Linked DNA regions of Lepisosteus oculatus. The protein of the gene in region 1 purifies or fractionates together with the protein of each later gene. This does not show direct contact. Links are inferred from orthologs where the notes say so. Each region holds a gene or a part of one and is shown on either strand. Other genes may lie near its edges.

Evidence for each region.
Region 2: the proteins of hdac5 (region 1) and prkd1 purify together in Homo sapiens (affinity purification with western blotting; 4 studies listed by BioGRID, with this or other methods). This does not show direct contact. The link is inferred for Lepisosteus oculatus from reciprocal best matches to the Homo sapiens genes HDAC5 and PRKD1.

What each region holds. Positions count from the first base shown.
Region 1 is NC_090723.1:7,409,461-7,420,326, forward strand, and holds the start of hdac5 (histone deacetylase 5), read right to left. Parts: upstream 4,490-10,866; 5' UTR 4,474-4,489; coding exon 4,291-4,473; intron 1-4,290. Other genes in the region: tut1 (speckle targeted PIP5K1A-regulated poly(A) polymerase), read left to right, coding at 8,311-8,389, 8,744-8,934, 9,535-9,744. UniProt on the Homo sapiens protein: Responsible for the deacetylation of lysine residues on the N-terminal part of the core histones (H2A, H2B, H3 and H4).
Region 2 is NC_090703.1:5,747,152-5,757,900, forward strand, and holds the start of prkd1 (serine/threonine-protein kinase D1), read left to right. Parts: upstream 1-6,035; 5' UTR 6,036-6,542; coding exon 6,543-6,707; intron 6,708-10,749.

The DNA.
Region 1 (10,866 bases):
TACTCCTTTCCCGGCCGAACTCCAAATCTGGGAGACTGGCGCGGCCAGGCCGCCAAATGGCAGCACCGTGCCGCCCCACTGCCCGGGCCTCTGCAGACAGACAACTCGCTGCACGCTGCTTTCTAGCTGGGCAGGACGCAAGCACCCTGCAAGCCACTAGCCCCCCAGAGGCTTTCCCTTCAACCTCGCCGCGGGGCTTCACACCAGCTGGGAGAGAAAGATGTCTGAGCTCCCTTCGCATTTCTTCTAAAGAACAACAGGCATGCAAGCACACACACAGCCTGCTGTGTTCTGCGTGCTGCTCCAGACAGGCTGTCCCAAGATGGTTGAAGGTTCTGCACTCATCACTTGGTCCGTTCTTCCCAGCCACCCCACTGGGCCTCATCGAGAGAGTTTCCCCTCGCAAAGCCTCCAAACATGACTGGGAGCCACAGCGGGCTGTGCTGCGTCTCTGCCAAAATGAAATCAAGTGAGATGGCTGGGAGTCTGCGCTGTTTAGCTACTCCTTAATCTGCGGGGCATCGAACAGCTCGAAACAGCAGCCTTGCTTCCAAAACAAAAAAAAAAGACACCATTCTACTCCGACCACAATGTTAGACTGCCAGCCATGCTTTAAAAACGAAGTGAATTGATTCTAATTACTAAATAAAAACAACAGGTCCTGATATGCGATCATGCCCCTCCGTTTAAAGGGATGGGTCTGTATTAGTAGATATTCCTTTCTAACTTAAAATACAATTGGCCTTTTGCAATAAGCAGTGCTTCACAAAAATATACAGAAAGACATCACCACCAACAGCCAAAAGACATTTACACTGTGAATCCGATCATCCAGGCAAGCAACGTGCACAAGGCAGGGTACACCCTAGACTGGATGGCAGTCCATCACAGGGCACACAGACACACACACACTCACATCAGGGTCGATTTTCCCAGAAGTCAGTTAACCTACCCGCATGTCTTTGGACTGTGGGAGGAAACCCACACAAACATGGGGAAAACATACAAACTCCACACGGATAGCACCCCAGGTCTGGAACTGAACACTGTACCACTGTGCCTTCCCATTGAGAATCCACACACAAATATATCAATGGATTTGACATGCCTGTGCTATCTTAGAACTACAAGGCCATCCTGCCATTTACAAAGAAAATGGCTAATTTCATTATTCAGTTTAAACATTTTCAGATGCCTTTGCAAATGCAAGCCACTGAATCAACTGCTGTTTCACCCTGAGATGTTCCAGCAGCTGTCTTCTCCAGCGATAGTGTGGTTACTAGACAACTGCCCAATTTGTTTTCTAAGCAGGAGAAAACATAAATGCGTGATCTCAAGGCCGATCAGCATATTAACTTCTGCAGCCTTTGACTTTTAAGTCACACATATACAGACGTCAGAGCATCTGATCAGTGCATCTGTCTGCGGTGTATTCTGTACCGTGGAGCAGAGAGATCTGATTGCAGAGTGGACATAAACACTGACAAGAATACAACATTTTTATTGCTCTCTTGTGTACACAAAAACCCGAGATAGAGCCTACAGTACCTGCAGAGATGAAATTAAGGCTCCCACTGCATAGCACCGTGATCCACATACACAGAAATTTCAGGTTTCTAGAAGTGGCTGGCTTGTGCACAAGTGCATTGACAATGTAGATAAACAATGTGAAATCCATTTCTACCTAGAATAATATGCTCAAAATATGATCATCATGAAACACGAACAGTTACAGGGTTATATACAAGAGCGTGCAACTTGTTAAACCAGGAACGTCTCTCCCCAGCTATGCGAGTGTTTTTTCATCTCTGTACGCACCAGTCTCACACCAGCGCCAGTGAGAGAGACCTGTGCTGATCTATGTTTTGAACTAGGAAGGTTAACCCACTGAGACGCAGGTCCTGTTTACAGAGGGATCCTGGGAGATTATACTGCTGAAAAATATCAGTACAATAGCAGTCAACACAACACAGGACACGTGCTTAAAATCAAGTTACCAAGTAATCGCAGGAGAGGCAGAATAAAAAGATCTATGCAGACAAATAATCACGTAGCACAGTGTGTTTCGCTCCCTGCAGATGACGGGCATCCGAAAAAAATAATCAAAAACATGCTATAAAGTAATTTAACCTCTGCCTTGCGAATGCCTGACTTCTTTCCATCTGTAGTGTAACACAACTGCAAATCCAATAAAACACCAATTGGATTACCAGGATTTGAAATCTCTTTTCTTTATTTTCTGAATAAAGCAGGAAGAGGCACAGCAGCTTCCAAAGGACAGGAGGCAAAAAAACTGATCTCAGAGCAGAATCCTAGACTGACCTCTTACAGAGTCCTTTGCGCTCAAATAGAAATTCTTCTTCCTTTTTTTGAGCAGCATCTTTTGAGCAGAATGAAATGTTACTATGAAACTAACAGAACCATCCTGTGTCAACATGGACATGGAAAGCAGGAACACAGACACAACTAGGCTCATTCTGTACAGAGGTATAATATTATTTAAGGTCATAGCTAACACTACAGCAGGTACACTTCTCAATTCCAAACACACAGCATGTCAGTTTTAAAAATTCTGGAGGTCAATAAAAGGCATTTTCAGTGGAGATGACAATTTATTGTTCTGTCGGAAGCAGAATATACAGTAAGAGATTGTTCTAGGTGCTCCTAAGCAAATCTGCACTCTCCCACAAATCTCAAGGGCTATTTTAAACACTGGATGTAGCTGATCGTCTGTTTCATTTAGGACTCCTTCATTTTGAATCAGTGACTGAGTTAATATGTGAATAAATACAAAAATACACGGCTGTAAATACACAAGTGGCTATTTTTTTGGTGCCTCTGAAATTCACAGTTACAATGATACCGAGCTTGCCTGAGACCTGTGTTTATGCAGGATTTGCTGAGTGTCCAGAAAACACAAACCAGGCACACTAGAGGTAACGAACTTCTGCGACGCCATATCTTCCAAAATATTCCCCTGTCAGTTTAAAGAAAACAGCAGCACAGCGTGTCCACCACCATCCTGCTTTCATACTGCCCAGAACAGATTCTTCTAAATGACACTGGCTTTGTACTCCCCTCGTTCTCAAGTGCAGAAGTCTTTGTGAGACCTTGGTCAGAAAATCGGTGCTTAAAAAAAAACCTCGGAGATTCAAATTTCAAAAGAGATAGATACATTTCCTTGAAGCGGATTTGTTTCAGTGACCTCTACATAAACATATATTTTGCTGTGTTTTTGCATACAGGAGTGTCGTAAATGATTTTAATAGATGATGCTTAAAAACTGCCGGGAGTGGGCATCTTGCAGGTGTAGGTGGTCTTTAGATCTTGGGTTTGAGTCTGGACTTCGGATCCTTGCGTGTGGAGTTTACATGTTCTGTTTTCCCAGAATGGATGAATATGGCTAACCCCCTCAATTCATCTTCTGCGAGCTGGCTCTGAGCTCCTAACGCATGCACGACCCCCCCGGTCACGTCTGGCAATCCAGAGATCTAAAAATTACCGCAACAACTGAGACAAACAGATACTGACACTTGAAAATAAAAAAAAATCCACATATCATGCGGATAACATGCTCGTTCTGCAGGAACGAGACAAGGAAGGCAGAAATATTATTTGCATCCACCGGTTTCTGGTCGTTTCTCTAACACCCAGCAACTGGAAAAAGTGTTAACACTTCGATGAAGACACTGCACAGAGAACTCGGATTTATGTACCCATGACAAACATCATCTCAACATCTTTAACCACAGCCCGGTCTCACAGCAACTTGCTCACTTATCTGGTGGACTTATTTGGTCCACCTTTCTCACTAGTTCTTAAAAAAAAAACATATTTACAGTCAATTCATTTCCTTGCTTAGACTTTCGAGGGTCTCGGTCGAATATTTCTTCAACTTTTTGCCATCGCCGCCGATACAAATACGAGTCACTCGGCATTCGAAGAAATGACCACCGCACTGCCCACCGCGTCGTATTTAGCGCACTACCACAATTCTTTTAAAAAATTGCACTAATTCTGGAGAAGGAAATGACCGCTGTTTTTGTAACAAATCGTTATCTTTATCCGTGTATATCGCTGTCGGCAGCACCTGGGAAAACGCGTCCCCCCCCCCCCCGAATGCTTGTTAATACTCACAAACCGTGGTCTCGCTGCGGCCGTGAAAGCTTAAATGATACATTTCTTGAATAAATGCATTTTTTTGTAGCACCGACCCGCTTAGTTACGAGTACTCGCAATTGAAAAGAACGGTCCGAAAAAAATGAGTGTCAGTAAACAAACTATCTTTACCTGATGATCAAGGAGATATCCCGTTTGCCTTTCTGTAGGAGATGTCCGGATCTTCGACGGCGGATGCGCTAGCTGGTGTGTATTTTTTGGGGGGGTAAAAAAAAAAAGAAATGTATGTGTATTTTTTTTCCCGTCACAGCTCTCTTTCCTCCATATTGGCAGCTCCTCCACCAACAACAACATTCGTGACGTCACTCCCCCGTCACGTGACCCCCCCCCCCCCCGGCCGCGTGCTAAAAATAGACTCTGCAACCACTGAATAACCTACAGTGGGAAGATAACCCACACCTGAGTATGGTGGCAGACCTCGCGTCGACTGGCGCTCCTGACGTGTGGTCTGTCTCCCCAGTCAACGTCTGACACAGCGAAATGTTGCGCTGTTGACACGGCGTTTCGGCACAGGCGCGGATGCAGACCTCTGCGGCTTTTGAAGTTCGGAGAGAACGTTACCACCGATTCATGCTCGTCTAGTAAAATATATATTTCCACGATTGTAGCGCTGCATTGAAGGCAGTTGTCTGTCGTTTACCAGATGCACGTTCTCTTTTTTTTGTGGAAATGGAAATGGGTTTTGGGTGGAAATGAGTGAGCATATTTTATGCGTCACAAGGCGCGCTAAATATATGTTCTCGCAGTGTTTCTGATTTACAACGGGCACGATCCACTATCTCTTTTTCAGCGTTTCCCGCTGACATTAGCCTCATCCGCACTTGTTAGAACAGTAGAAACATGATGAGCCCGGTTGCAGTAGTTTGAGTTTTTTTCCGAGCTTTAGACCTTGTGCTTAGAAGTTGTGCGAGTTCACGCCAGTACCCGAGGATCTGTGTGGGGATATGCTGTGATTCGAGGTCAGGGATGGACTACTTTCAGAGTCATGCAATTAAATCTACTCCAATGCTCCCGGCCACGAGTCACAGGCCGGTCCAGGTCAAAGGGTTCCCACCTTGCTAAACTTTGGAGCGTTTCTGTCGGCTGCATGGTTGGACATAAGCCCACGACAGCATTTGTTAGTCATGTCAATCGGAGCGAAGTGGCTGAGATGCTCGCCTGTAGTTATAAAGTCTGCCGAGCTCCTGTCCGTGCAGACGGTCCCCCCGTTGTGTCTCACGTCTCACTGAGAGTCTCGAGCCGCGGCCCGGAGACCCCTCGAGACACGGAGCTCTCTTATTATGAAAAGTACCGAGGAGCGGGCGACGAATCCCGAGCCGGAAAACGACGCGCCGCCGACACAAGTTTGGGGGGGGAGAGGGAAAGGAGGGAGTTGTGAACATAAGTTCGGGAATGGAGACATAATGATAAAGGACAGAGGCCGAGAGAAAGCATTGGTGCCATCACTATGCGTTCTCCAGCTTGATGCTTGTTGCCATGGTTACCCGGGGCCGGGAGCATGACTGGCATTCTAAGTACCGTTGTGCAACACCGCGAGCCCTTGCCTGCGCGGACAGAGACACGCAACACGTGTTCCCATCATGCGGCTGTTAAAAGGGCCTTGACAAGCTCTCCATCAGCTTCCTCATTCAACACAGCTCAATACTCCTGCGGGGATGCGGTGACGTCATCCCTGCTCTTCAAAAGAATGAGTCACGGCAGCTTTGTGACGTCAAAGCCTCCTTTTAGGAGAAAATCGAAAAGAACATTAAGGTAGATACATAACTGAAAAAAAAGACAATTACATGAATATTTTTTTTCCTCTGGCAGTATCAAAGGACGTGGATATGGGATACGAATTATGTGCTAAGACAAATCAAATTATTAATCTTTCTAAAACCGTTTATTTAAATAATAAGTCTGATCACCGGAGTAGATTCAGTCTTCTTACACAATTCTGCAACCCAAAGTTTCGCGGTGAAAACTATCTCAAAAGCGCCTTCACGCTGATCACTTCAACATCTTCCGTGAGCGTAGCTACAATTCAACCCTCTAACTCGATATAGTGGCAGAAAACAGGGCGTTAGGTCAGTGCGGGGGGAAAGTTTTTCCATTATTAAAATGCATTTCACCCTGTTGTGCACGCAAAAGCGTCTCGACACTCTCTGCTCCATTCGACGAAAAAGCGTCCTGCACGATGCCCGTAAATTGTTTCTCTCGCACATACTAATGGTTTTCACCCATTAGCGTGGTTTTCCTATGCCAGTCTCTGTGGCAGGCTGGCCGAGATGAATGACCCCGCCTCAGTCCCCTCACCCACAGCGCTCCCGGACAGCAGCCGGCGAGTCAGGGATGAGGACCCGTCTCCATGGCGATGCGGCGCTTTTCATGCCGGCGGTAGCGCTCTCGTGCTTTGGAAGCAGATGAAGATATCTGTCGTTCCTTCGACTCGTTGCGGACGTCTGCTCTATGTATTGAAACAAAGAAGAGTAGCAGCCCAAGACGATAAATGACCTAGACTTCTGCAAGTGTTGCCGTCTTAATTATGTCCAAAGAGAGATGGAAAATGAACTATATATTTTGCTAATAAACTCTTTTGTTTTTGTTGATCTTAATCCTATAACTTAATTGTGTCTGGTGTGAACTCAGCCTGTGCTCCACTTTAACAAAAATCACGAAGTTATTAACCCCGAGTGTCCTTGAGAGTAGTCAAATCACCAAACCCACTTTACAGCGTTAGGAACGGTCTGAAACCAGAGGAGCCCATTCATAAATCTAACACGTCTGGTAGTTCGTAGCTCATCGATCCTCTAACCTCGGTAAAAGGACGAGAAGCTTTTTTCAGTTTCCCACATCTTGAGAACACTGTAAAATAGCTCTCTCTTTTGTAACTTAGTGACAATTTTAGCAATGATATCTCTTAATTTTAATTTAACATATATAATGAGATTCTCCTTGATTTGTATTGCTTTCCAACTTTGTCTGGAAGATGAAAATGGCGTGTCAACATTTACACATTCCTTTTTTTCCACAAAGCAGCTTTTTCAAACTTAATGTCCCTACTTGGTACAGTATTTAATGTTTTTTTGCTGCCTGTTCGTAATACTCTGCACCTTGTCTAACTTAGCCCCCCCAAAATGTTTTTGTTTGATCGATTTTAGAAGTAAAGGATTATCAGAAAGCAATGATATGAAAATGTTATATGTCAAAAATGAAAATGGTATATTTCATGATTATCTAATGTCTGGCTTTGGCACGAAGCCTACTGCTCGGGGTCGAGGCTAAATTGTCTGCATCGGCGGACACTTCCGACTCAAACAGAGGGAGGAGGCGCTATATTCGTAAGTGAGGGATGACTCACATACAAGTGAGTCAGATTTCTACAGCCAAATCTAAATGTCAACCCCCCATCTCCCCCCTTCGCAGCATTTAATGAGAAAAAATAGATCCCACACAAAGAAGAAAAAGTCACAACTACTTATATGACAGGAAATTGTCTTTGGAATCGAAGAGCTTTCTTTTCCATTTTGTATCAGATCCACGACGCCTCCCGGTGTATCTTTGAAAACAAAGAGTGTGGTTTGCGTTACACGGAGATGCTGGTGCCTGGATATCACACAAAAAAAGTCCGCCACCCCTCTGTACAACAATAATGTTTATAAAATGTTAATGGTACAAGACAAGGAGAAAAACACAAGAGCAAACATTTCTTTATCATTAGCGATCTCCTGAAATTGCTGTTTAAAATGTAGAGTTTTTTTTTCTTTTAAAAAGCTTTAACTGATCAGATAGGACGCAGTGATATGTATATAAAACTGTTTTGTGTGGTATTTATATGTTAGTGCTTTTTGTTCGTTATACACCGTGCATGTGAGACGGAAAACATGCAGATGTAAAACATCAGTGAGATTTCCTGAGAATTGCTGGGTTTTATAAAGCTTTGTCTCCCTCGTACGGTGGGACTCTGCAAATTCCGCGTGTGGACTTCTTGTTCCTCCGGAACTAAAAGTTCCTATCTTTGTTGCCATACCGGGGCGAAATGATGGGAGGGATGAGGCAGGGGAGAGTGCGTGGAAGGGAGGGAGATTTAATTTAATCCTTATTTAGTTAAGAGATTAAGCGTATTTCTGTTATATTTTGCTTTTGATCGAGATGGAGTTAGATACAGATATCCAGCCTGTTCCGAAAGGAGGGTTCCATTGCAACTTGTGTGATGTCAGTGTACCAAACAGTAAGTTTTGTCAAGTTTGCGCAGCACCATTACTTACAGAGCAGTTTACAGCAGTGGCATGATTGTTTGAGAAACAGAGTTTATTTCATTTTTGTTAAGGCGAATAGATTCAAAAAATGTTTTATGGCTGCGAAGGAATCTCACAGCCCGTGTATGATAAAAGTAAGCGGCTGTATTGGTCCTGCGTTTTCAGTAACACTGGGCAGTACGTGCTTTCCTCTTTCTTTAGCCTTTTTAATGCACGTCCGTGTGTTTGAAATGCATGCCCGTGTTTGTTTCGGCGCAAGGCTCCTGTTTCGTTTGTATCTGCACACGTTTCTGCTTATCTAGAGTGTAACGTGTGTGGTTATGCAGGGACAAGCCTTCAGGACCACCTGAAGGGCCGTAAACATCGGAACCTGTGCGCCGTCCGGGACACTCGCCGGACCCAGGTGGAGAACAGCGTGTTCGTCAGCGGGTTCCAAAAGGGGACGTCGCAGCAGCAGATCATGGAATATCTCCAACGCTTCGGACCCGTGTCCGAAGTCATCATGGATAAGGACAAGGTGCGTTTTTGTAAATATAATATCCTGACTCTCTGCGGTCATGACAAAATCCCAGGGTGTTTCTGGAAAAGAGTAGGGGTGTTACCCTGGCATCCTAGCCAGTCAAGGCCTCCTAATAATCCCCATCTCTGAACTGGCCTCATCGCTCTGTTCTCCTCCCCACTGAGGGCTGTACTGGGGAGTGTACTGGTGCTCTATGGCTGCCGTCACATCATCCAGGTGGGGGCTGCACATTGGTGGTGGTGGAGGGGAGTGCTTTGAGTGGGGTGTCCAAAAAAAGCGCTATAAAAGTGTGAGGAATTATTATTAACTAACTAGTCATCACTTAACATGTCAGTTTAAATAGAAGTTATTACAATGATGTCATGCAGGCAAAAGAAATATCCTTTACAGGTATCTGCTGAAAGCAGGAGTATCATCTGAACAAAACAAGAGATGTGCAAAAAGCATAAGTCTAGTAACGGGTTAGTTCATGTCCAAGCAAAGGGCATGGAATGCAAGGCCGAGGGAAGAATCTGTTTCTAGGACAACCGAGAGTCGAGTGTGGGACTGACCAGGTATGGACGTGGGTTGTTGTTTCTCTCCAACTGTGTCTCCCAGGGTGTCTATGCCATCGTGGAGTTCAGCGACAAGCAGGGCCAGCAGGCAGCCCTGTCTCAGCCCCAGCACAGCATGGAGGGCCAGAGGCTGCGCATCAAGCAAAGGGAGAGCAAGGAGTTCAAGTTTGTCCCCAAACGGAAGCAGGACGTCACCAAGAGCCCCTCGATGAACCCCGAACTTCTGTCCCATGCCCTCTGTCAGGCCAATTCTGTGAGTCTCTCTCTCTCTCTCCTTGCATACCAGCCGGGTTCCAGTCCTGCTGGAGCTTTTGTTTATTCGCACTGTCTGAGCTCTTCATGTCTCAGCTGGATTCTGCATCAGGCCACCTTAACATGATTGATCTAAAAGGATCTACAGTATAGTGCTATCTATAGGTACCAGTGTCTGAAACAAGTCTTTTTTGCTGCTCAATTATATGTTGGGTTACACATGTTTGGTGTTCTTTTTTTATCACATGATGTACCTTTTACCAATGCAGTTTTCTGGTTGGAAAAAAATGCTAAACCTCTTGCATTTAGATTAACTGTTTTTTTGCGTTGGATTTCACCAGGCACTTTCTCTTCAATTTCACAAGTGATGCTGATAGACTGTTATTCCAAAGCTTGTTTAACTCAATTATTAGTGCTTCAGTTTTCCAATTTAGGTTTGACTATGTTCTGTATATATTCCAGATATTCTACTCACTGGCTTTTGACCAAGTGACTGTTCTTTTCCACAGAAGGGATATGTCTTTAATGAATAATAACCACAAGTACACAAGTGTTTAAATAATTACAGGCAGTCATAATAAGCACCATAAACTCAGAGGAATTTCTCAAATTAGGGTCTAGTGTAGACTTAGTGAGAACTGATTATCTGTTCAACTGTATTAAACTGTATCAATACAAGAGGTATGTTGTTGGACTCTTAACTTGGGAAATTCAGAATCCTAATCATGCCTATACATGTGATATTATGTGTAGTCATTTACTTTTTATTCAGTACTCATTCATTGTAGCAAGAGGCAGTTAAAATGTTCTGGTGGATAAAGTCAATTCAGACACAGGCTATACTGCTCCCTTTTCAGCCTGGAAGTGTAAAGGTGTGTAGGTGTCTGTACATTGTCACTCTTAAGTCTTTGCATCCAATAAGATGGTGATTCTACCAGCACAGAGCTGTGCGCTGTAGCACTGGCTGAGAGCTAGACCTCCCAGCTGTTGTAATTCTGATTTGCTTTTTTAAAACCTATTCCTAGAATTCTGAAACTAGTTTGATCCCTAGTTGTGAGTCAGTTATTCCTCCATCTCTCATAACACCAGGTGAGTGGGCACCGCCGGTGGGGTGATCAGAGTC
Region 2 (10,749 bases), on another chromosome or scaffold:
ACCAGGGGAGTGTCCACCTGTGCCGGCATTTGCTTATCTCTCAGCAATGGGGGATGGATGGTGTTAAAGGCACTGGAGAAGTCAAAGAACATAACTCTCACAGTGCTCCCTGTCTTCTCCAGGTGAGAGTTAGCTCTATGTAGCAGATAGATGACTGCATCCTCCACTCCCAAGTGTGACCTGTAGGCAGGGGGTCCAGTGCTGTACTCACCTTAGTACAGCATAGTGCTATATTGGCTATATTAGATGAGTTTGCCAGAACTGCCCTTTAATGTCAGCCTTCTGAACGCTTAGTTCCTACCACCACGCTCACATCAGAGCTATGCCATTACGGAACCAAATTAGATCCTAGGAGTCTTCCAGACAAAAAAAGACCATGGATTAACACGTTGCTCAATTGAACTGAATAAACCACAAACCTTCAGACAAAGCTGCTCTGTTACCTCTAAAACTTCCTCCAGTATATTTTCATATTTGGTGAACTATCTCTAAAAAGGATCTGACCCCCCAACAATATTACAATGCACACGGAAGGAGACAATTCAAACACAACATTTGAACATCTCCCATAGATAACGTGACAATGACCCTGTATATTTACATACAGGAACGACTTTATGGACAGCTCTTTTCTAATGGTTATGGTATTTATCAAATTATGTTTCATGAACAATCTGCTGTACAGAAGTTCCTGCAATACACATGGTATCATGCTGAGAGTCTCCTTGCATTTAAATGCATATTTTACTTGCAAAGGTAAATGGAAGAGCCAGGATCTAGCTTTTAATTTGGAATTATGATGTTTCTTCACGTTTAACAAGAAACAACACCAAAAATGCTAACTTTTATTAACTCTATGCTTTTAACCCTTTAATATCTAATACTAATAACACCTCTGTTGAGAAACAAAATCACTTGCTATTCTTAATTAAATAAAACATACAGAAACAGTCAGTTTGTGACAATAACTGACACATGCTAAAGTTACTATTAAACAAACACACAAACACCGAATATTTACTCTGTAAAGTGTAAGCTGCATGCAAAGTGTCACGTAGGCACATGGCAGAGGTGAATAATTTTCACATTTTGACTTGACATTTGAACTGTGAAAATGCTGAGCTGGAATTGGAAATGAAAAGAGACGATGGATATGTTTTTCAACAATTCCCCATTTCCATCTGATTTCAGGGGTTTTGTATTTTAAAATATATATATATATTACACTATTGCACCAATTGATCATTTAAGGCATCACATAAATAAACTGCAAGACATATTATTCTGTATTACACCACTTTAAAAGTGTCAATGCTTTGGATCATATACAGTACAAACATACAGTATAGTACCACATTTGACTGAATATCTGCTTCCATTATAGATATTTTTACTTTTAGGTTTTATACTCTTTTAGTTTTTCTGGTGATGTTTCAAACTGTTTTTAACACTCCTCTGCCCTCGAAACTTGAATCCGATCACCAGACTCATAAGCATGTCTAATGAGGAAACCAGTTACAGCTCCCTCTGCAAAATGGGTCAAGTGGTCAGGAAGGTAATTATTATTATACAAAAACATTATCCAATTGATTAAATAATTAATTGTATTTCTAAACGGGTTTTCATCCCCTTGATCCCAAAATTGCTTTATATAGAGGTGTGGCCTCACTTCATCCACCATTGAATACAGGTACGCCCCTGGCCGGTACTGAATGTACTGGCAGGCCTGCTACAGTACTACTGGCTTGGATGGTAGGCTGGTCCACCAGAAGCCATGCACATCAGAGATTTATTTCTAATCAAGACACACACAACCTCTAGACAATCGATAATAAAGAATGTGGGTTTTTTTACAGCTACGAACGCTGCCACCGCACACGGGAAAGACTGAGGAGGTGCTGTAGTGGACAGACTCCTCCATCCTGCCCACCTTCGAGCCGCTCATTGAGAACCACATCACAGGGAGCACAGCAGGCTGAGAACTGATTGGAAAGGCACATCCCACGCCCAAGGCACTGCCAGCCTGCAAGCCACGAGGGTTGCTGTGACACTGGTCGAGAAGTACCAGCTGGTTCTCGGCAGCCCTCAGAAGATGGTTGCCGCTGTTTGAGGAGTCCCAATGAGGCTGGCATTACAGCCACCTGGTGATGTCACCAGGCTCTCTCTCACCTGGATCACAGAGCTCAGCCTGTCTTGATGGACCCCCTGTCTTGTGCTTTACCCTGGGAGAGGTGGGGCTAAAGAAAGTGCTTCTCTAGAATGGTGGATATTAACAAAGTATAAGGATGAAATAAAATGCTAAATAAATAACAAAAAATATAAATCTCATGACCATGAAGTAATGAACCTGGTTGGTTGTATTTTCTAAACCTTTTAATTATATACGTCAAAAATCCTTCTCTTCAATGGTGTGAGTTTGTATGTACACTGTATATACAGAAATTCAAATATAATGGGTCTCAGGGGTTGTCCTTCAGATGATGACTGTAATCAAGAGAAAAAGCTATACTTGCATTGCTGTTACAGAATAGCTCATCTCAGGAGGCTCTCCTAGTGGAAATTTAACTGGGCCTAGCACAGTAATTCATTATTTAATCAGAAGGTTTTCAGTGCCGAAGTGTAATTCCTAGGGATAAACAGTATTTGTCTTAATCACCGCAGGGGAATTTTTTGATGAAACTGGGAATCTTGTGGTGTTCCTCTATGAATTTATTGAATAGATTCTCAGGTCTATTAAAAAAAAAAACAACTGAAAAACTTAAGTTAGTTTATTTTGCCAGCTCATACAATTAGCATAAGTTAAATGACTCGGTCACAGTAGTACTGTGCTGCCGAGGTTTGTGTCTGACAAGGTCATACAGAGAGTGTGTAGGCGGACAGGGACCTGAATGGCTAAGGAGTTTGAATAAGAGACCATCGCTTATGGTTACATCCAAGGATTGTTATTTGTAAGAGTTGCCCTGCAGCTCTGTAATGCTGTTTTTCTGCTTCATTTCCTTTTGGCTGGGTGATATGTCTGCATTTATTGAGCAGTTCATCTGGAAGCATAGGAGGCAGGAAACGCCGCCTGTGCGCGCGCGCACACACACACACACGCACACACCAAATAAAAGCTGCTAAACGAATTGAAAAGATTTGTAATAGTACACTCTCTCCTGCTATTGTAGGGGCCCTGCACACAATAACCCAAGTAATTTGCTATCCATGTCTTTGGCCTACTTAAGGATGGCAGAATGGTATCCTAGCAATTAAACAGCATTTTCTTTTTAGACATTTCACCAAGCCCCCCATTTCAATCTCGTCAGAGTGAAAAGATGCGTGCACCATTCATCCTGCCTTTCAGGAGCTTTTCTGTGAGAAAGCGCTAACAAGAACAGAATGAACTGGCTTGTCAGATTTTCCCTGTGGCAGCACTTCGAGGATATTTTCTGGGAGTGAAACTATTAATGACTACATCTGTTCATGGAGTACAAGCAGCATGTATCTTTACTAGGACCGGTGTTTCTAGATGTATTTTGGGAAAGCAAAACACACGCAGAAGCAACCCCAAAGCCTACCTTTCAAAAACACACACACACAAAAGAAAAATCAAGGGGGAATTCCCTTTAAAATATAAACTGTGTTATACATGTGGTCTTTAGCACTCTACAGCTTTCGACAATGGCTTATTAACAGTGAAGAAAAAAAGTTGGCACATGGGTCAGGCCTACATTTCGAACAATACGAGAAAATGTTTTGAAATTATGCCACACTGACATGGGTGTCTGAATACACATAAAGCCGTGAACCGGCTATCTAAAACGTTAGGCCACCGACAACCCCAACATCCTCCACATGGTTACTGTCTGTGGGGTTATGATGGACCTGCAGATCTTGAACTGCCCTTTTATCTCAGTTCAGATCATTGTGATGGAATATTAAAAACTCCAGAGGGGTAAAGGCAGTGGGATGTCACATTAAAACAAAGAGTCATGACATACTGTCCTGTAAGTGCCTGAAGGCCAGTGGGAAAACTGGAGAGTTGCAATATAATTAAGGTGGTGTTCATCTGACACTTGCCACTCTTTACAAACATACAGCGCTTTCGATAACAGCTTTAAGAGATGGGAATGACAGTTGAAATCAAGAATCTGAAATTACCAGGGAAGATGTTGTTTCTGATATGGGCTTGCTGTTGTTTTTTCACAGAGACAAACTCAGGGTAAGGACAGGGGTATGGAAGTAGAGCACACCACTCCAATCAGTGCTGCAATTCTTCATCTACTACAGTAAGAAGCAAAGGTTTCTGAACTGTGGTCCCAGTTGTGTTATTTCACAAATTAAATTTTGACACTATCCTAGACAACACAAAGGATTCTTTATAAACGTGCGTTAATATACAGTATATATTGTGTACACTAAAGAGTAAAAGTACATAATTCATTGTAACAAACAGTATAAACATATTGTAAATACAGAGTAAACACGAGTAAAACTAACATAATTTGTGTTTTCAGGAAAACGAACCAGCAAAGAGCGCGCTATAATATTTATATTTTTCGGTTAGGAGATACTTTGAAACTCAGTATTTCAGATTTAGGAGACACGATCAATTGTACTCATGCATACTCATGAGATGCAAGCTACTCCAATTATTAGCAATTTTCCGAGTTTTACTGGGATTATTTTTCTGCTCAGACGGTGAAACAAACAAACAAACAAACAAAAAACAAACAGGCAAACAAACATGAAACCGACGTGTTGCTTGTGCTTAATGATTTACTCCCTTGGTAATAATTTATCAAATGAAAGCTGTTCATCAATTAAAACTCGCGATCAAAGTGGTTATGCAATTGTACTAATAACAAAGATAATGGAGAAGCCGCAGCATTTAAACGTGCGAAATTAAGCTAAGCTAATCAAGAACAAATAATTTCGTATTCAAATACTCTCTTTGTTGTTTATTTTCTTCAGAAAAGGTTTTGTAATTCTTATTGAAACGTTTAAAATGGTAATCAGGTTCTTGCAAATAAGTACTTCCCATAAAAAAAAATTTCGACGTGTTCCTCCAACAAAGATGTACAAGTGGACTCCAATTAAATAATAACACTACAGAAAGCACCTACAGCATATTGAACGTATTTATAGGAGGTTGGGGGGGGACTTTTAAGACCAATCTTGAAGTATTATAGGGTCACACGCTGATGTTTCTGGAATATGGGAAGAGATACTTTGGCTAATATAAATAATCTAATCATAAAAGTAAGGAAATGTTAATGATTGTTTCCCTAAGGTCAATCGCAGGACTACCAGGACCCATATCTATCACTGTATTATGGAACAACACTGTTTACTTTCACTTTGTGTCGAAATGATTACAATCTGATACAAAACTGGCTTTAACGCGGAATATCGGATTGTTATTTTTCTTCGCCTTCACTGAAAATACAATACAGAAATAAAATCGTGACTCTTGAATGACGTATTTTCTAAGAACACAGCCCGTTTCATTAGCTTAGTAAATATCGGGTTGTTATACAGTATTTGCGACAGGTGAGAAAGAACGATTTCCTCTGATAGACATAAGGTTTAATCAGTTGTATCCACACTTAATGCTTTCAACGCAATGTTCTGTATCTACTGTTTTCTGTCTTGTTGAACAACGAAATCTCTATGGTGCAAATCTTAACGGTTAAATGGCATCTTTTCAGCTTATTGTTTTACACTATCTTGTACATTCTAAGGAGTATTCCAGACTCAAAAAATACTCCTAAATGCAGCTATCCCTTCATGAGAACACGTTTAATTTGTAAACTTTTAAATTGTTTATTTAAAACAAACAAATACATAAAAAATACGTCTATTTAAACGTAAAAAAAAGGAGCGTTATGACTTAATTTCCCCAGGAAAACCGTCTTCTCGGGCATAAAAAAAATTAAACACTGATGAACTTTCTTTCCCCCCACCTTCAGTATAGTAGGTTGTGCCCCGGTGGATATACAGTATAAAACTTGTAATTATCCCTGTAGCGCAGGGAGTGAAACAACGCGCACTGACCGAAACTGGAGTGACAGCAGTGATGTGTGAAGAAGCGGCGCTTGAAACCCACCCGAATATTCGTGGCTGTAGTGACTACAAACATAACCCACGGTTCATTAGCACGGGGCAATAGTGAGGAGGCGGGCTCTGATCAGATCTGAACATTTCAACAGATCTGCCGACTAGCGGCTTCATCTTCGCCTTTCACTCTTCAAACAACTGACCGCTTTTCAGTACCTCTCACCGCTTCCCCGACTGCATCCTCTGTCGCGTTTTCCTCGCCATTTTCCTCCCCGGATAGGGAGAGGATTGAAAGTTTATCATCACTGTTGTAGTACCCCTATTTTTTTGTGTGTCTGTGTGGTGTGTGGGGGGAAAAAACAAGAACAAGAACAACAACAACAACAACAACAACAACAAAACAAAAGGCGAGCAAACATTTGAAAAGTTTTGACATTTAATTTTTTTTTTTTTAAGTTTCCCAGTTTCTAGTTTTTATCCTGTCGGACATCGGGTTGATTCTCATGAGTGTGCCTCCGGTGATTCGGCCGCCGAGCCCTCTCCCGGGGTCGCCAGGCATCTCTTTCCAAATTCAGATCGGGCTGAGCCGCGAATCGGTCCTGCTGGACTCCGGCGACTTCACCCTGTCGCACGTCAGGGAAATGGCATGCTCCATCGTCGACCAGAAGGTAAAACAAGACGTCGAGTTCCTTCTCTTCTTCCTCACTGAATGCCTGTTTTGTTTTGGTACTCGATGAGCAGTGGGGGAAAAAAAAAAAAAACACTGTCACACCGAGGAGTAAACTTGTGCCTAAACTTTTGTTTTCTCTTTTTTTCCCCCCCTGCATGTGTGAAAATTAACTGTTGCGCTGCTGGAGTGTGCTCTGGCTTAGGCGCCGTTCCCTTAGCGTGGAGGAGCTCAGTGACAGCTGCCGACACTCTGTTTGAATCATTGCGAAAAGATTGTGCCTGTTCTTCACACTATTTCGCATACTCACCGCAATGACACAATCGAGTTTATGTCGTTTTCTGGTTGCTTTTCTAACTACTTTTAAAATGTCTTTAAATAAAGACGCATGATTGAAGTTTATAGTTCCTATGGAACTGCTAATTCATTGCTTGGGAAGTGTGTGGGGGCAGCCCATTGATTTTCTTCCACGATCAATACATTAATTTTGTGGTAGAATGAATCAAGGCAAAAAGGGTTTTTTGTTGTTTTTTTGCACAACCCTGTACATGTATATACACACCAGCACATATTGCAGTTTTTCAGGCTGATTGATATGCCTGTGCTACAAAGCAGTACATTTTGAACTATTTTATATATCGTAAACAAAGGTCTTGAAGTATGTTAGTAAAATGGAAGCTGGGAGGTAAACAGTATTTGATATTGTCAAGGCAAACTGCCCTGTAAACAGATTCTAACAGCTACAACAGGCTGGATTGATCAACTTCATGGGGCTGAACTGCATGGTTTTCTCACTAGATGAGAAAAAGATACAAAGATGAGAAAAAAAGCATGATTTTCTTCACTGGATAATTAAACCTTTTATGCCAAACATGTAATAGCCAAAAGCACTGTTCATGTTTTTTGTAAATATTTAAATTGGAAGCCATTACTATTGCAGTTTTACACCAGTAGATATGATTCTAGGCTATCAATGCAAAAAACATACAAATGTGCATTGCATTTGCAGTTCCAGTTCCAGATGTGTTTCTGCTGCCAAATGCATTCTAGTAAACCAATATTACTGTCCTGGAACTGAAAAAGAAAATATCATTCTTTATCCAGATACATTTTGGAAGTATATTTTTGTCTTCGCATCCAGGATTGTTCCTGTCTGTCGCAGAGAGACACATGAGTAGTTAGTTACATTACCCCTGGCAACAGGGAGAACAACAGCCTGATCTGTAGAGGAACATAGGAAACTTATTTGTTTTCTGTAAACTTTTCAAATGGAGTTACTCTATTGTTTGTGGAAAATATTTCTTAAATGTTTGTAACTTCATTAAGCCTTCCTATCTGATGCCTCTATATGTTTTCTGCCATTAAAGGCAGGAAAAATACATTTTTAAAGCGACACACAATGTGTTTTTTCTTATTCAGATGCATTAATAAGATATTATCTCTGCATTTTGGGTTTCTAGCACTTTCTAAGTGATAGAAAGTTTCAGAGGTATTAGAGGGTATCCCTACAGCTGAATCCCTTTTTAAATTATTGTAACAAAACTTTGAACATGAGCTGTTTTCTGATTTTTTACAAGGTAAAATAATTATCATCAGCTAGAGAAAAGTAGTTCCGTTCAAAATCAACATGCTGGTTAAGCTCTGGTTCATTAATCTTTTCCAAGTCAAATAAAGTGTACGTAGAGAATAGAGAAGTCTGCTTAGTTCAGAAGTTTCTGAAGCACACTGATTAGTTCTTTTTAAATGAAGCGTAAAAAACATGAAAATACATATGTAAATAACAGTGGGTATCCTTTTATTAGTTAGAAATAAATCACAATATACTATGACAAATAAAATAATTTGCATTCAATTTAGTATTACCAATGAACAAAAGAGCAAAGAAAGGTTACAGATGATGTAGGGGCATTCTGCCTGCCTTGCTTGTTTGCTTCCTAGTAACTTAAAGATCTGAGATTTCTCTTAGTTTCAGCTACATCCTGGAAGTCAGTTCCAGACTCCCTCAGCTGTCTGCATTAAGAAGTATCTCCTGTTTTTGGTTTTAAATCTCCTTAAATTCAATTTTCACTTGTCTGCCTGGGTGCTTGTGTTACTGCTAATCTGAACAGGGTCCCCTGAGTTGACTTGGTCTATGTGTTCCAGGATTTTGAAAACTGGAATCAAGTCCCCATGCAATTTCTTATGCTTTAGAGTGAAAAGACTATCCCTTTTTCTCTGTCTGAAATTCCCTTCAGATCCGGAAAAAAACTGGTTTCTGTAGAGAGCAATATCTTTCTTGTAGTGTTATGACCAAAACTGGACACACTTATCCAATTGAGGCCTAATCAATTCATTGTACAATTTTAATACAACTTCCCTTGATTTAAAATCTAAACCATTTACAATCTAATCAAGCTCCGTGTTGTTCTGTTTTTGTATTATCTGTGAAATGGGCAGATTTACTCACTGTACCAGAGTCTAGATTATGGGTACAGATTAGGAGGAGTATCTGTCCAAGAACTGATCCTTGTGCTGCCTCACTCCAGATAGAAGTACAGTACCTTCTCTTTACAGTACTTTTTGTTTTCAGTTCTTAACTTAACTATTTATGTCCATGTGTAATCATTATTCCCAATTCCTGCAGCCTTATGGTAGATAGGTATTTCACATTGTACTTTATCGCAAGGTTTTTGAAAGTAAACATTATGATGTTATATTCACTGTGCTAGTTTTGTTGAAGAAATCAAATAGCTTATTTAGGCAAGATATGCTTCTTCTAAATTATTGATGATTATTTCTTCAAATTTCTAAATAATCTCCACCTTGTAATTCCAGGCACGGGCTGGCTGTCTTCCTGAACTGTTGTAAACCAGTTGTTCCTTTTAAGTTTTTGCCAATATATTCTCCTGATTTCGTATTCTATAGCTGCTCATTTGACAGGTTAACTATGACACCAACATGGAAATACCAAACATGAATTGAAATTGCTCACAGTTTTTTCCGTACAAAATGTTGAAACAGTTAGAAAATCGTCCTGTTTAATATCAACAACATCAGGAATGCCAGTAGCCTGAATGACCTTCATGCAGGACTGGAAAGTTCTAAGCTTTTGCTCAGTATTTTACAACTAGTTCCATTTACAGAAATATTCTAAATCATTAAGCACCGCAGTACTGTATATAAACTTTCTGTGCACTGTGTTGTAAGCCAAATAATACAGAACTATAAATACAGTACTGACACTTGCATTTTTTACAAGAATATCTAGCTGTTGAAGCAAATCTATTTAAAAAAAAGCATTTATAGCAGTATTAGTATCCTAACATTAACCATTTTAAGGAGATCAACAAAGTCCTGAAGGTGAACGCAGTACTGAACAATGCATACGTGTGTAGTGTGGTATGGTGTATGATAATAAGTAGTAATAATTAAATAATATTAATAATAGGCATCAACTACTAAGGAATGACCAACAGTTTGGAAAGAGATCCTTACTCTGCCAAAACTGGCCAGACAGAAATCTTTGCTTCACAATGGATATGAGAAAAAGAAAGAATTAGTTCACACGTGACTTTTCCCTGTGAACATGGTGGTTGTTTTACCAGATTGTAGAACATGAAGAAACTATGCCCATCTGTACAAAACCTGTCAGTCCATAATTGTTGGAGATTCTTGTTTTTTTTTACATGCACACAATTCCAGAGTGGAGTCAATGGAGTAAAAATGTAAAGTTGCTTGCTGAGTGCAATTTTGAGAAATTGTGCTGTACCGCATTCATTAAGTGTAGAAACACTGTCAGTTATTTTCACCTTAAAAGGCGTTTTTGAATGAATTCTTGTGGACCAGCAATGAGGCTGTCAGTTTCCATTCAGTTGTACTTCTTTCATTCAGTTCTTATTTTTTTCCATACTGTTAGATGTAATCAAAGTTAGGTTGACTGGTTTATAATTTTCTAGCTCAGTTTGGTTCCCTTTTGTTAACAATGGGTATTACATTGGAGTTTTTCTAATCAACAAGTACATTTTCTGCCCTAAGAGCATTTGAAATATCCTAGAGGGTGACTT